2 linked regions of the Anolis sagrei genome follow. The protein of the gene in region 2 binds, or shares a complex with, the protein of the main gene of each other region. Links are inferred from orthologs where the notes say so. Each region holds a gene or a part of one and is shown on either strand. Other genes may lie near its edges.

Region 1 (7,750 bases), on a different chromosome or scaffold from region 2:
TATAAAGGAGATCATGTACTCTTCAACAGGACAAAAGTACAATATCAGTGCAACTCTCCCAGGGGCCTTCCACATTGCCACATAACCCAAAATATAAAGGCAGATAATCCACAAGATCTGCTTTGAACTGGAGCCCCTTCCAAACAGCTGAATAAAACCTCCCATTTTCTGCTTTGAGCTGGAACATATGGCAACATCCCAACCCAAAGAAGATATTAAGGGATTTTATTCAGCTATGGGGAAGGGACCCCACTACAATCCTTAAATACCAAGACATCCATAGTGTAGCTGACCACACAATTAATTTTATGGAATTTACTAACAAAAGATATAATCTACCATACTCAGGCCTAATTCACACAGACACACTAAGCTGTAGGAATCACAATCACCCCAATGGAGAAAAGTAACACTTATATGATAAGGGATCATGACATTATTTCACAGCTGTATTTCATGATAACAGAAAACAAAGTAACAAAGTCTGTCAGCACATTTATTAAACATGATTAGAGAAAGAATTGGGCAAATTCATCAAAGATTAATCTATTAATATCTATTAGCTACACAGCTCTGTGGGTGCATCTAAAAGGCAGAATTTACTATCATGGTTCAGTATTACGGATTTGGGGGAGTTGTATTTTAACAGGAGTGCCAAAGAGTGCTGGTGTTTCGCCAAACTAGAAATCCCAGGATTCCAAAGCATTGAGTCATTGCACTTAGGTCTCTTCCACACTGCTGAATAAAACCTCACATTATCTGCTTTGAACGGGGATATATGGCAGTGTGGACTCAGGGCTCTTTCACACAGCCATATCGCCCAGAATATCAAGGCAAAAAATTCCACAATATCTGCTTTGAATTGTGTTATCTGAGTCCACACTGCCATATATTCCAATTCAAAATAGAAATTGTGGGATCTTATTCAGCTATGTGGAAGGGGCCTCAGATCACCCAGTTCCAAGCAGATTTTGTAGGATTCTTCTGCCTTGATATTCTGGGTTATATGGCGATGTGAAAGAGCACTTCCACACAGCCCTATATCCCAGAATATCAAGGCAGGAAATCCCACATTATCTGAGTGTGGACTCAGATAGCCCAGTTGTGGGATTTTCTGCCTTGATATTCTGGGATATAGGGTTGTGTGGAAGGGCCGGTAAAAGTATGATAGCTGGGACCCAATGGTATGCTACTTGTGCAAGTAGAAGAACGGAAGACGAGCCCATCATGGGTCAGAAGGGGGGGGGGAACAATAAAGAGGGAACCACTGTGGTTAAGGCAAGTAAAAGAATGTTTGGTCAGTGAGCAGCAAATGGAAGAAGATCACACAACTTATGGCAATGAATTGACCCGGACTGGTTTTTGGATTTTGATTTTAATGGATGTGTCTTAATTAATTGTTGTTTTAATATTTAATATTTTGATTGTACTGTGGTTGTTTTTATGATGCTTTTGTTAGGTTGCCCTGAGTCCCCTTTCAGAAGGGCGGGGTATAAATATAGGAAATAAATAAATAAATGTTAGAGTTTTTAATTGTTAAATGCTAAACCACGGCTTATGAAGATGGTAAATGGGATAGAAATATTTCCTCTTCCCCTTTCTGGCGAACAATGGGCTATCTCGTGCACGTACTCCCCTCATTAATTCAGATCCACGTTGCGCAACCCAACATAACCAGCGTTGGGTCCCAGCTATCATACTTTTACCGATGTGCCCTTAGTGAGAGTGGTGTTAAACTTCATTAATTCTACATTGCAGATGCACACTCAATTCAAGAAACATCAAAGCAAGCGGTGGGAAAAAAGGCAACGGCGAGGGTGCAAATCTTGAGGTAATTTTTGGATGTAAAGTCCTGTAAAAATTGTCTTTATGTCCGGCAATTCTGCAGAAATGTGACCATTCTCTGTGGTTGCCCCCTAACTTTGGAACACCCTCCCCAAAGACATTAGACTAGCACCTATGTTGGCAGTCTTTAGGAAGAACTTGAAGACCTAGCTATTTCGATGTGCCTTTCAAGAATAGGATAACCCCTAGCACTATGTCCCAGTAGCACTTTACTAGAGTTTAAGACTCTCTGCACATTGCACTTGCTCAGAATTCCAACATACCACCTCTCATACCCAGCACTTTTTAATCTGTACCCTTCATTGGCCCGGCCCTGGTTTTATTGTGTAATAGTGTAATGTTTTGTTATTGCTTATGTTTTTAATTTGCTTTGTATCGTATTGTTATTGTCTAGTGTTGTTGTGTTGAGGCCTTGGCCTTTGTAAGCTGCATCAAATCCTTCGGAAGATGCTAGCGGGGTACAAATAATGTTTAATAATAATAATAATAAAAGGTAAAGGTTGTCCCCTGGCATAAAGTCCAGTCATATCTGACTTTGGGGTGTGGTGCTCATCTCCATTTCTAAGCCAAAGAGCCGGTATTGTCCGTAGACACCTCCAAGGTCATGTGGCTGGCATGACTGCATGGAGCGCTGTTACCTTCCCGCCGGAGTGCTACCTATTGATCTACTCACATTTGCATGTTTTCAAACTGCTAGGTTGGCAGAAAAATATGACTATAGCTACTTTATTTCTTAGGGCCCTTCCACACAGAATATCAAGGCAGGAAATCCCACATTATCTACTTGGAACGGGGTTATCTGAGTCCACACTGCCATATATTCTAATTGAAAGTAGAAAATGTGGGATTTTATTTAACTTTGTGGAAGGGGCCTTAGGAACCTAAGAATCCTAAAGTAATCAAAAGGAGGCGAGGCTCCAGGCGCATGCGCACAGGAATACAAACGATGAACCCCCCCCCCACTTCCTCAGCCAATCAAATCACCCTTTGAAACACCCCTCTCTTAACCCTTAACCGGTGCAGCACGTGCGCATGCGCAAACCACCACCTTCTGAGAGAAACGAGCCAAAAGTGACAGGAATGCTCACGCCATTCCCTTTCTTCCACACATGTACGCAGACACACATACACCACTAACCCGGTGAATCTCACGAGGGAAGTGTCTCCTAGCCGAAACCACCGCCCCGCCCTCCTCGCTCGTTGCCAGGTTGAATTCTCGCGCGACAGGCAGGAGACCCCGCTCTTCCCCGACCCTATTGGTCGCCGCGCGGGAGGGGAAAAAAAAACACGGGGCTCGCTTCTGCGCAGGCGCGGCCAAGAGAACCTGTCCGGCGCGCGCTTCCTAGAGGAGGCGCGGGGATGTGCATAGAGATAGGAAAAAAATAGAGACATATACTGGAAGTGACGCCAAGACGTCTATCTATACCACGCCGTTTTGGAACTCTGTGCATCCCTTCGTCGCGCAGACGTGACGTCACCTCCAGCAGGTTGAGCGGGAAACTTGAGAAGGTAGGAACGCGACAATGGTTTAGCTCTCTGTCACCAGCCCTGAGGGAAGGTTTTGTTTTCCAAAGCTGCAGTTCCTTTCCCTGTTTAGCTGACGGCGACTGTTTAATGACTCCCAAACTCTAGCCCTCGGGGTATTTTGGACTACAACTCCCACAAGCCTCAGGTGCCTGAGGCAATGACCAGGGATTCTGGGAGCTGAAGTCCAAAATGACTGGAAGGCCAGAGTTTGAGAAACATGCAGAATATTTAAACTGAGTCAGGATTACTAGGTTCTTGTAGGTTTTTAAGGACTATAGGGCCATGTTCTAGAGGCATTTCTCCTGAAACATTCACACCTAACTGCAGCAGGGAAGAGCTCCTTGCCCCACCCCAGCCATTCCACAGATATATAAACCCATTGTCCTAATTCCAACAGACCTCACTACCTCTGAGGATGCTTGCCATAGATGCAGGCGAAACGTCAGGAGAAATGCCTCAAGACATGGCCCTATAGCCCGAAAAAACCTACAAGAGACCTAGTGATTCCAGCCATGAAAGCCTTCGACAATACATTGAGTCAGGATTATTTATTTATTTATCGGGACAGAATTGAGAATACAGTTCTAATGTATGACTCTTAGGGCTCATTTCCATTAGAAGTAATGCGGTTTGGCATCACCTTCAGGGTTATGACTGAGTGCTGTGGGGTCCTGGGAGTTGTAGTTTGGTAAGGCACACTTTGTAAAACTACACCTGTGCTGTCGCACGCTGGGCCTGTGCATAAGACTGTAGACAGGACATAAATTCTGTGTGCCCAACGGGACGCCGGGGCTGCCTCAGATTAAAGGCCTTTGGATTTCCTTAAACAGAGTCTTTAGATTGCTCAAAGGTTTAACAAAGTTCTTTATTATTGAAAACAAACAGGTACTTTAAGGCTTCCTTAATAGTCTATTGCAGGGGTTCTCAAACTTCCTCATGCTGCGACCCCTTAATACAGGGGTCCTCAAACTAAGGCCCGGGGGCCGGATGCGGCCCTCCAAGGTAATTTATCTGGCCCTCGCGCACGGTCAACCTAAGTATGAAACTACTTGAAAGCACACAATAACAACAACAATCCTATCTCATCAGCCAAAAGCAGGCCCACAGTTTCCATTTAAATACTATTTAGTTTATATTTGTTAAAATTGTTCTTAATTTTAATTATTGTATTGTTTTTAAATGTTTTTAAGATATGTGTAGTGTGCATAGGAATTCATTCGTATTTTTTTCGAATTATAATCTGGCACGCCAACAGTTTGAGGGACTGTGACCTGGCCCTCTGTTTAAAAAGTTTGTGGACCCCTGCCTTAATACCCCCAACCATAAAATTATTTTCCTTCCTACTTCATAACTGTCATTTTGCTACTGTTATCAATCGTAATGTAACTATCTGATACGCAGGATGGATTTTCATTCACTAGACCAAATTTGGCACAAATACCCGATACCTGATACAAATTTGAATACTGGTGGGGTGGGGGGGGTGATTTTGTCATTTGGGAGTTGTGGTTGCTGGGATTTGTAGTTCACTTGCAATCAAAGAGCATTCTGAACTCTACCAACAATGGAATTGAACCAAACTTGGCACACAGAACTCCCATGGCAAACAGAAAATATTGGAAGGGTTTGGTGGGCATTGACCTTTTTGTTTTGGAGTTGTAGTTTGCCTACATCCAGAGAGCACTGTGGACTCAAAAGATGATGGATCTGGACCAAACTTGGCACGAATACTTAATATGCCCAAAAGTGAACACTGGTGGAGTTTGGGGAAAGTAGTCCTTGTCATTTTGGGAGTTGTAGTTGCTGGGATTTGTAGTTCACCTACTATCAAAGAGCATTCTGAACCCCACCAACGACAGAATTGGGCCAAACTTCCCACATAGAACCCCCATGACCAACAGAAAATACTGTGTTTTCTGGTGGTCTTTAGTGACCCCTCTGACATTCCCTTGTGACCCCCAGGTTGAGAACCACTGATCTATTGGCTCTCTCAATCTTGTCCACTGGGAACAGGCACAATCTTCACAACTGAATTTCAACTAATGGGGAAATCCTTAACTTCTAATCTGGGCAGTCTGTCTTTGCCTCTGTTGGAGCCCCTACACCCAGTACCAACTGCTTCTGGCTTCTGCGAGTGACCCTTACCAGGCAGAGCTTTGTAGACTTCCAAGGGAAAAAGGAAGGAGTTCAGGTGTCAGTGATGGCTGGCTGAAGTGCTGTGAGACCGGTTTCCCTCAGCAAAGGAGCTGTAAGGCTGTATATCTCCCAGCCAAGCCACGGGACCTTTCTCCCCGGCCAAGCTGTAGAAGACGAAGCTTTCTACAGGAGCTCTTGGTATTATGTCCTGCATGGAAAGCTTCTCTGTATGGACTGAACCCAAAAAGGCTTCTATTCCCTCCAAAAACCCAAAAAGGGGCGGGACCAGGGAACCTAACTATAATTGACAGGTGGCTTGTCCTATGATTGCAGCCAAAAGAAGATAGCTGCAGAGTCCCTGAAACTTAGGACTATAACAAACATTCAGTGCAAAGCAAACAAAATTGGAGCTCCTGGTACAGCTGTACCTGCACAACACCTCTCGCAATTCCATAGCATGGAGCCGTAGTAGTTAAAACTGTTGTCAAATTGCATTAGTTGTGCTGTGTAACTGCACCCTTAATCAAAAATCTGTAAAATTTAAGGTCATCAAAATGTCTTTTTTTTTTTAAGAAAAAAAAGGGTATTCTGGTATTAAACGAGTTAGGGGTTTTACGTCCAAAAGAATAATTTCAACCTGGGGGTCACAATCAGACACAATGAAGACATCTACCCTTGCATTTTGCTACTTTGCTGCTGAATACTCATGCCCTGTGTGGAATACTTCTCACCATGTTATAACCGTGGATGTGGCTCTCAAGGAGACACTATTGTAGGATATCTACTCCCAACACCACTGGAGAAATTATACTGTTTAGCTGGTATTGCACCACCGGATATCCACGGGAAGTAGCAGCCAGCAATGAAAGGACCAAGGCAGTGACATCTCTGCCCCTTCTCTGTTTGGATATCAGCCAGCAAGCCAATGCCTTAAATCAATAAAAAGGTTCCTAAGAACTACAGATATACTCACAGGGACACCCCAGCAAGCAAGTGTCCAAAAGTGGCAGGCTAAAACCCGGAACTTCAATCAGTGGCTGAAGCCGGATGAGAAACAGACTGCACTCTTGAACCACAAGATGTAGAGCTAGCTTTAAGAAATGGGGCTACAAAGTGGAGTCCACGACATGCGAGTGCAGAGAAGAGCAAGCCAAAGATCACTTACTATAAGGCAGTCTGAGCCCTGCCACATGCACAATGGAGGACCTTCTTACAGCGGCACCAGAGGCACTCGAAGTGGCCAGTTTCTGGTCAAAGGAAATTTAGCATAATGCCGGGTTTTTAACTTTGTTCTTTTTTATACATTATAATTGTATCTCAGTTTGCTTCTGACACGATAAATAAATACATCTCAGATTTGCTCCATCACATACAATATTTTTGTTGTTATAAAAGACAAAAAAACAAATGAAATCTCTAAAGGAAATGGCACTGGAACATCAGTATCTACACAGAATGAAAACAGTCAATTGAACTGAGAAAAAAGGGTGTAATATGAATGAACTATGTGATATGACCTATATATTGTGGGTTTTTAATGCATTATTAAAATGCTTAGGCCTGTGATTTGGAAGCTGAGTAAATTAGCCCTTTGATGCCTCTTTTGCCCTGTTTTATCTCCTCCTCCTCTTGTCTGGGAACACAGTGATATTGGGGGACCTCAAAGGAGCCCCCGGTGGCAGAGTTGCTGAGCTGCTGAACTTACTAACTGAAAGGTTTATTTATTTTACTTATTTCCTATATTTATGCCCCCCCCCCCCCCCTGAAAGGGGATTCAGGGCAGCCTAAAAAAAGCATCATACAATGCTAGCATCATAAAAACAACCACAGTACAATCAAAATTTTAAAAATTAAAACAATTAATTAAGACACCCATTAAAATTGAAATCCAAAAACCAGTCTGGGTCAATTCATTGCCATAAGTTGTGTGATCTTCTTCCACTTGCTCACTGATCAAATGCTTGGTCCCATAACCAGGACTTGATTTTCCTTCTAAAAGACAAGAGGGGAGTGTCCAATCTGATATCTCCAGGGAGGGCGTTCCATAGGTGGGGGGCCACTGCTGAGAAGGCCCTGTCTCTCATCCCCATCAACCATGTTTGTGATAGTGGGATCGAGAGCAGGGCCTCGATCTTAAACCGTGATGGTTCATGGCAGGAGATACGTTTAGATAGGTAGTCTGGGCCAGAACCGTTTAGGGCTTTAAAGGTTAAAATCAGCACTTTGAATTGTGCTCGGAAGC
Region 2 (8,286 bases):
CAGAATGGGATTGGACTGGATGGCCCACGAGGTCTCTTCCAACTCTAGGATTGTATTTATTTAACCCTGCTTTGGATGTCATTACCTGGGGAGATTAGGCTAGCTCCCACCTTGTCAGCTTATAGGAAAGGCTTGAAAACCTGGCTGTTCTGCCTTGCTTTTGATGAATGAACAATAATCCCCACACTACGACAGTCCCAGCACATACCTGTCCTCTTGATGCACCTTGCCTTATTCCTAGCGAGTAATTAAGCCCCATAGCTTGTCCCTCCTGTACCTCCCAGTGGTTAAATTGCTTCGGTTATCCTTTCCTATGTCCCTTGATTTTATCTTCGCACCTTGGCCCTTATTCCTAATCTTATATTACTTTATACCCAATATGTTAATTTCTTTTCTTGTTTGTATGTTATTGTTTTATTGCTGTACTTTATTTTAATTTTAATTATTATTAGCTGTCCCCTGCCACATGTTGCTGTGGCCCAGTCTATGTAGATGTGTTTTTAATGTGCATGTTTGTGTGTATGTGTGTTTGCATATATATGTGTGTGTGTGTGTGGTTTTAAGCATGTGTTGTAATGTATTTTTTGTTATTTGTAATGTATTTTTTGTCTTCTGCTGTGCTTTTAATGAGGGTCACTCGTTGCCCTGATGGGTGTATTGTGTCCAAATTTGGTGTCAATTCATCCAGTGGTTTTTGAGTTATGTTAATCCCACAAAACATACATTAAAATTTTATTTATATAGATTTGCTGTATGTATCTTATTTGTTTACTGTATTCGTTGGGCTTGGCCTGTTAGCCACCCCGAGTCCCTGAGGGGAGATGGTAGTGGGGTATAAATAAAGTTTAATAATAATAATAATAACCCATTCAGATTAATCCCTTATCCCTAATTTTATTTTACTTTATACCCAGTGTTATTTCCCTTTTGTTGTTTATTTATATATTTACCACATTTATATACTGCCCCTCTTAGCCCAGAGGCGACTTGGAGCGTGTTATTGTTTGTATGTTATTGTTTTATTGCTGAACTTCAATTTTAATTATTATTTGCTGTACATATCTTATTTGTTTACTGTATTCATTGGGCTTGGCCTCATGTTAGCCACCCCGAGTCCCCGAGGGGAGATGGTGGCGGGGTATAAATGAAGTTTAATAATAATAATAATAATAATAATAACCACCCACTATGCCATCAGGAGCCTCCTTGCCTTACCTTGATGAAAATGACATTGTTGGGGAACACAGAGGCATCTGTCCCTTCCTGAGGGACCCTCGGAGCGGCGATGGGGCCCCGGCTGGCCATCAGAGAGGCAGGGAAGGTCTTTCTGGCCGCGGTGCTGCTCGGACCCTCGTCGCTCTCCTGCTTCTGCTGGTGGAGCTCCTCGGAGAGGTAGTGCCGGATGTTTTGCCGGGCCGAGTGGATGAGGTGCCCGTCAATGTCCAGGCCCACCATGCGGGCAGGCCCCCACTTCTTGGCCACGCTCAGGGTGAAGTGTCCCACGTTGCAGCCCACGTCCAGCACCTCTTTACCTTGGAACCACTCCGGCTTCATCACCCGCAGCCGGGCATCCTCGCAGTCGGGGTTGCGGTATCCGTAGTACTTGCAGTAGTTGCCGTACTGGAACTTGTGCCGGGGCTGTCGGCGGGCGGACGCGGGGGGCGCGTGGCGGGAACGGGGGGCACTGCGGGCCCTCTCTGGGCTGCTCCGGGAAGGCTGTTCCAACGCCGAGGAAGGCCCCTGATGCCGCGCGGCCGCCACTTCGGATTTGCTACAAGTCCTGCGCCGCTTGCGGTGGTGCCGGCTCCCTGTGCTGGCGGACGATGCCACAGAGACGCAGGAGGGGGTGACGCCCCCTCCGGCGGAAACCCCTTGGTGGCTGGGCTGGGGCTCCCCATGTCCGGCGGGAAGCAGCGGCGAGACCACCTCATCCCTGCAGTTGATGACGGTGTTGAGTTCGTACGGCTGGGGGGTGGCCCCATTGCAGGGCTTGGACTTCTGGCAGGAAGCCGAGGCGGTGGCGGCGGGCGTCGCGGGAGCCTTGGTCCCCGCTCCGTCGGTGCTGCCCCCCCTCTGCGCCCCTCGGTGCCGGTGCCGCTTGCGTTTGGCGGGCGAAGCCAAGACGGGAGGGTCGTCCTGGGCGTTGTTGAGACTCAACGGGTCGGTGATATCCTTGGGGATGAGGATCTCCACGGGGTCGCGGCCTTTGGCCGGCAGCGGCGACGACTTGGGGGTCTCGGCGTTGAGTGCCTGGTTGACCTCCTCGTCCAGGAGGCTGTTGAGGTTGAGCGGGTCGAAGATGTTCCCGCCGAGGAGGAACTCCGACGGGAGGACCGGGTCGCACTCGGAGTTGACCCTCCGGCGGCGCTTGAAAGCGGGGTGCTTGAAACCGCCTCCTCCACCGACATTGCAGCTGTTACGCCTCTTGTTGGGCCTCTGTTGTGGTTGTTGTTGTGGTTGTGGAGGGGCCTGGAAGCCATTGCGAGGCTTGTGGAGCTCAGCTAGGCCGTCTCCCTCCTCCACAGAGGCCTCCACTCCTCGTTGGGGGTCTGTGAGGCCTCCATCCCCACCTCCACGGCTCCCTTGGGCCTTCCCCGCCATGGGGCCTCCTTTCCCGGCTGCATTTCTAGGCAAGTCCCCGGCTCCACAGGTGGTAGGCCCCTTCGGAGGGGGTTTAGGCAACGGGGGAGGCGGGGCCGGGACTCGGAAGGCGTCCTTGTCGGCCGCCATCTCGATCATCCCTCAGGCCAGCCGGGGAAGAGGAGAGAAGCAGCCTTGTTCCTCTCCTCAGCCCGCCTCACGTTGTTTCTGCCTCAGACTCCTTCTGCGCGTGCGCAGTACGCTCCCTCGGCTGCTCCCTTCCTTTGCTCTCTCCCGCGCAGGCGCACTCCGCGATCAAGCCCAGCCTCCGTCGCGCAGGCGCACAAAACACCCACAACGCCCCGCCCTCTTGATCAGCGCATGCGCAGCCCAGCCAGCGCTCCGTCCAAGGAAGAACGCTTCGCGCCTCCCGATTTCCTGCGATGGCACGCTCCCCCCTCAGCGCTGGGTTTATATACCTTGTGGGCGTGGCTAATATACACCACGCCCCCTCGGTTCGATGACAACCAATCAGAGCCCGGCGCCCGCTCGAGCCGCGTGTATCGGAAACCAATCAGAACCAATTCCTCACAAGGCGCCCCTCCTTTTCTTCCTCCCGCCTCCTGATTTAGATTTCAACCAATAGGAAAGCAGAAGGGGAGCTCCTCCATCCAATCAAAGCTCAGCACTCGGATCTAATTTTTCTCCTCAGAGTGGGTGAGGGTCCTTCTCGGTATAGGGTTGTCTAACTCATACGCCTGCATGAGCGTTATTTCGAGCTTTAAAGTCGCAAAGGAAAGGCGAAGTAGATATATTTCCCCGCATTGGATGTGTTAAATAATACACTTTTCGTCAACTGCCAAAAATCTGCCTCGAAGAACAAGCCGGTTTTTTTTCAGGCATTGGCTTAGTCTCCTAAAAAAAGAGGAAAACAGCCTCACTTGCCAAAGATATAATCTATTTTAATATAATTTAAGTAAATCCGCCCTTGGAACCAATACTTTCACATTCTTTGTGCAAAGAAGAATTTTAATCATTTTTTGTTTTTCTTTTTAAAAGGGTTTCCCAATATGGACAGTTGTCAAAAGATCACATGGCTCCACTTGCCTGAAACGGATGCCTGCAAAGCACTCTGGGAACTGTAGTTTTGTTCCAGGCCCCCCAGTGGCGCATGCGCCGAATGTCGCAGCCGCCACTGCTTCTTACCAACTGCGCAGGCGCGGGAGGTGGGTAAACAAACAGACCCCAGGACACGCGGGGAAAGGGAGAGGAACGTGGGAAAGGGCGGCACGGGATTCATAGAGGGCCAATGTGTTTATTGTTACACTGATGGGGGAGGTTAGGCTCAAAGGCGAGTTGTAAATCTATATATCTAATATATATAGATCTATGCTGATGATTGTGCCATCACCGCTCAAGCAGGGAGCTTTGAGATGGTAGAACAGAAGCTCTCCGAAGCTCTAGTTCAGGCATGGGCAAACTTGGGCCCTCCAGGTGTTTTGGACTCCCAACTCCCACAATTCCTAACAACCGATAGGCTGTTAGGAATTGTGGGAGTTGGGAGTCCAAAACACCTGGAGGGCCCAAGTTTGCCCATGCCTGCTCTAGATGCTCTTACTGCCTATTACAGGGGAAACCAGCTGATCCCCAACCCATCTAAAACACAGACATGTGCCTTTCACCTTAAGAACAGACAAGCATCCCGAGCTCTGAGGATTATTACCTGGGAAGGAATTCCACTGGAGCATTGCAGGGCACCCAAATACCTGGGAGTCGCTCTGGACTGTGCCCTGACCTACAAGAAGCACTGCCTGAACATCAAGCAAAAAGTGGGTGCTAGAAACAATATCATACGAAAGCTGACTGGCACAACCTGGGGATCACAACCAGACACAGTGAAGACATCTGCCCTTGCGCAGTGCTACTCTGCTGCTGAGTACGCATGCCCAGTGTGGAACACATCTCACCACGCTAAAACAGTGTTCCTAATGTTCCATCTGAACATTAGGAAGAACTTCCTGACTGTGAGAGCCGTTCAGCAGTGGAACTCTCTGCCCCGGAGTGTGGTGGAGGCTCCTTCTTTGGAAGCTTTTAAGCAGAGGCTGGATGGCCATTTGTCAGGGGTGATTTGAATGCAATATTCCTGCTTCTTGGCAGAATGGGGTTGGACTGGATGGCCCATGAGGTCTCTTCCAACTCTTTGATTCTATGATTCTATGTGGCTCTTAATGACACATGCCACATTATCACGGGGTGTCTGTGCCCCACACCACTGGAGAAATTACACTGCTTCACTGGTATCGCACCACCTGACATCCGCCGGGAAGTAGCAGCCAATAGTGAAAGGACCAAGGCAGAGACATCTCCAGCTCATCCTCTGTTTGGGTATCATCCAGCACATCAACGACTTAAATCAAGAAATAGTATTCTAAGATCTACAGGGACACTCTCTGGAACACCTCAGCAAGCGGGAGTCCAAAAGTGGCAGGCTCAAACCCAGAACCTCAACCAATGGCTGATACCAAATGAGAGACTCCCCGCTGGGCACACAGAAGACTTGGAAGGTGCTGAACAGACTGCGCTCTGGCACCACGAGATGCAGAGCCAATCTTAAGAAATGGGGCCACAAAGTGGAATCCACGACATGCGAGTGGGGAGAAGAGCAAACCACTGACCACCTGCTGCAATGCAACCTGAGCCCTGCCACATGCACAAGGGAGGACCTTCTTGCGGCAACACCTGAGGCACTCCAAGTGGCCAGATACGTGTCACAGGACATTTTGCAGACGACACCAAATTGGGAGAGCCAAGACTCCAGAGGACATGAGCAGGATTTCAAACGATCTTGACAGATTAGAGAGATGAATGGCCAAAATTAACAAAATGAAGTTCAACAGTGACAAATGCAAGATACTCCACTTTGGCAGGAAAAACAAAATGCAAAGATACAGAATGGGGGACAGTGCCTGGCTCGAGAGCAGTACGTGTGAAAAAGATCTTGGAGTCCTCGTGGACAACAAGTTAAACATGAGCCAGGAATGTGATGTGGCGGCAAAAAAAGCCAATGGGATTTTGGCCTCAGGCATCAATAGGAGCCTAGTGTCTAGATCTAGGGAAGTCATGCTCCCCATGCTCTATTCCGCTTTGGTTAGACCACTTTACCTGGAATATTGTGTCCAATTCTGGGCACCACAATTGAAGGGAGATATTGACAAGCTGGAATGTGTCCAGAGGAAGGCGACTAAAATGATCAAGGGTCTGGAGAACAAGCCCTATGAGAAGCGGCTTAAGGAGCTGGGCATGTTTAGCCTGAAGAAGAGAAGGCTGAGAGGAGATATGATAGCCATGGATAAATATGTGAGAGGAAGCCACAGGGAGGAGGAGGGTGCAAGCTTGTTCTCTGCTTCCTTGGAGACTAGGATGCAATGGAGGTCAGCTGTGACCAGCAGTGCTGCAGAATTTGAGGAGGCACGAGTGGAGGGTGAAAGAGAGAAACGTGCCAGGAGGAAGGCGCGTCAAGCCAACCCCGGCCGAGACCGCCTTCCACCTGGAAACCAATGCCCTCACTGCGGAAGAAGATGCAGAGCAAGAATAGGGCTCCACAGCCACATACGGACCCACAGGGAAATCCATAATGGAAGACCATCTTACTCGTCCAACGAGGGATCGCCTAAGTAAGTAAGTAAGTAAGTAAGGAGCCATGGCTTCAAACTACAAGAGAGGAGATTCCATCTGAACATGAGGAAGAACTTCCTAACTGTGAAGAGCCGTTCAGCAGTGGAACTCTCTGCCCCAGAGTGTGGTGGAGGCTCCTTCTTTGGAAGCTTTTAAACAGAGGCTGGATGGCCATCTGTCAGGGGTGCTTTGAATGCAATATTCCTGCTTCTTGGCAGAACGGGGTTGGACTGGATGGCCCATGAGGTCTCTTCGAATTCTTGGATTCTAGGATTCTATGACATTTAGTATAATGCCAAGTTTTCAAACTTTCTTTGTGGGTTTTTATACATTATAACTCTATTCTCAATTTGCTTCTGACACAATAAATAAATAACTTGGCAAATAGTTGCAGGTATCTTTTTGTACTGGTGGTATCAGGTATGAAGATGTGAGAATTATGTTGTGCCCCACAGATGCTTATAAATACACTACAAATACAGCAACAGAGCAGGCTAAAGCCAGGGGGGAAAAATAGAAAGCTTGTTTTCTGCTGCCCTGGAAACCAGGACTCAGCGTAATGGGTTCAAATTACAGGAAAGGCGATTCCACCTAAACTGTATTAGGAAGAACTTCTTGACCGTAAGGAGAGCTGTTCAGCAGTGGAACTCTCTGCCTCGGAGTTTGGTGGAAGCTCCTTCCTTGGAAGGTTCTAAACAGGCTCAATGGCTATCTGTCAGGGGTGCTTTTATTGTGCTTTTCCTGTATAACAGAATGAAGTTGGACTAGATGGCCCATGGGGTGTTGCCCCTTGCAATTGTAGAGAAAGGAGAAGCAATAGCTGTGGGTCGGAGTGCCAGTATTCTTCCCCTGGGACTCTCTGAAAACATCCACAAAGAGATTACAGGAATGACCCACCCTGGTCATTCCACAGATATATAAAACCCTTTCCCCTCGTTCCAACAGACCTCACTACCTCTGAGGATGCTTGCCGGCTGGCGGGGACGAGAGATAGGGCCTTCTCAGTGGTGGCTCCTCGGCTGTGGAACACCCTTCCCGTGGACATCAGGCTAGCTCCCTCCCTGTTGATATTCCGCAGGAAGTTAAAGACCTGGCTGTTTAAGAAGGCATTTGGACAAGAAGTGCAATGATTGGTAATTTGACCATAGGAATGGAACAACGGAAATGATATCGGATTGTGGGTTTGACGATGAGACGACTCGGAATGGCTTTTGTAGTAATGTTGATGTTTTGATGAGATGTTTTTTGATAATGTGGATTATTTTACACTATGTTTTGTATTTTGCACCTGTTTTTCTATGTTGTACACCGCAGTGAGTCGCCCTTGGGCTGAGAATTGCGGTATATAAGCGAAGTAAATAAATAAATAAATAAATAAATAAATGCAGGCGAAACGTCAGGAGAGAATGCCTCTAGAACATGGCCATATAGCCCGAAAAAACCTACAACAACCCAGATTACAGGAAGTTTGGTTAAAAGGAAACCATTACTGATGTGAAAATGCACAGGAAGTGGCTGCCATTTATCTACAAGGGCGAATTGCGGTTTCCATTGCCTTCCAAGAGAAGCCTTATACCTTTTTTTGGTCAGACAAAGGCCAGTCTGGAGAGGTCCAAGGACACAAAGACAGCCTTGGAGGGCCAGGTGCAGCCCAAGGCCACCCACGGGTCCTTCCTCCCACTCCAATACCTTTTGAGATATTCTAGGTGGCACTAAGCTCTATAGCCAGCATACATAATGGTAAGGAATGCTGAGAGACTTGGGGGGGGGGGGGGGGGGTTCGCGAGGGTCACCAAAGACCATCAAAAACACAGTATTTTCTATTGGTCATGGGGGTTGTGTGGGAGGTTTGGCCCAATTCTATCATTGGTGGGGTTCAAGGGGCTCTTTGATTGTATAAATCCCAGCAACTACAACTCCCAAATGTCAAGGTCTATTTTCCCCAAACTCCACCAGTGTTCACTTTTGGACATATTGAGTATTTGTGCCCAGTTTGGTCCAGATCCATCACTGTTTGAGTCCTCAGTGCTC

The links. The genes of interacting proteins can lie anywhere in the genome.
Region 1: MEPCE (region 2) and LARP7 share a complex: the UniProt entries of both Homo sapiens proteins name them as parts of the 7SK RNP complex. The link is inferred for Anolis sagrei from reciprocal best matches to the Homo sapiens genes MEPCE and LARP7.

What each region holds. Positions count from the first base shown.
Region 1 is NC_090025.1:32,549,234-32,556,983, reverse strand, and holds the start of LARP7 (la-related protein 7), read right to left. Parts: upstream 3,113-7,750; 5' UTR 2,984-3,112; intron 2,917-2,983; exon of another isoform or gene 2,894-2,916; intron 2,699-2,893; exon of another isoform or gene 2,630-2,698; intron 1-2,629. UniProt on the Homo sapiens protein: RNA-binding protein that specifically binds distinct small nuclear RNA (snRNAs) and regulates their processing and function.
Region 2 is NC_090026.1:2,897,616-2,905,901, reverse strand, and holds the start of MEPCE (7SK snRNA methylphosphate capping enzyme), read right to left. Parts: upstream 3,032-8,286; 5' UTR 2,740-3,031; coding exon 1,216-2,739; intron 1-1,215. UniProt on the Homo sapiens protein: S-adenosyl-L-methionine-dependent methyltransferase that adds a methylphosphate cap at the 5'-end of 7SK snRNA (7SK RNA), leading to stabilize it.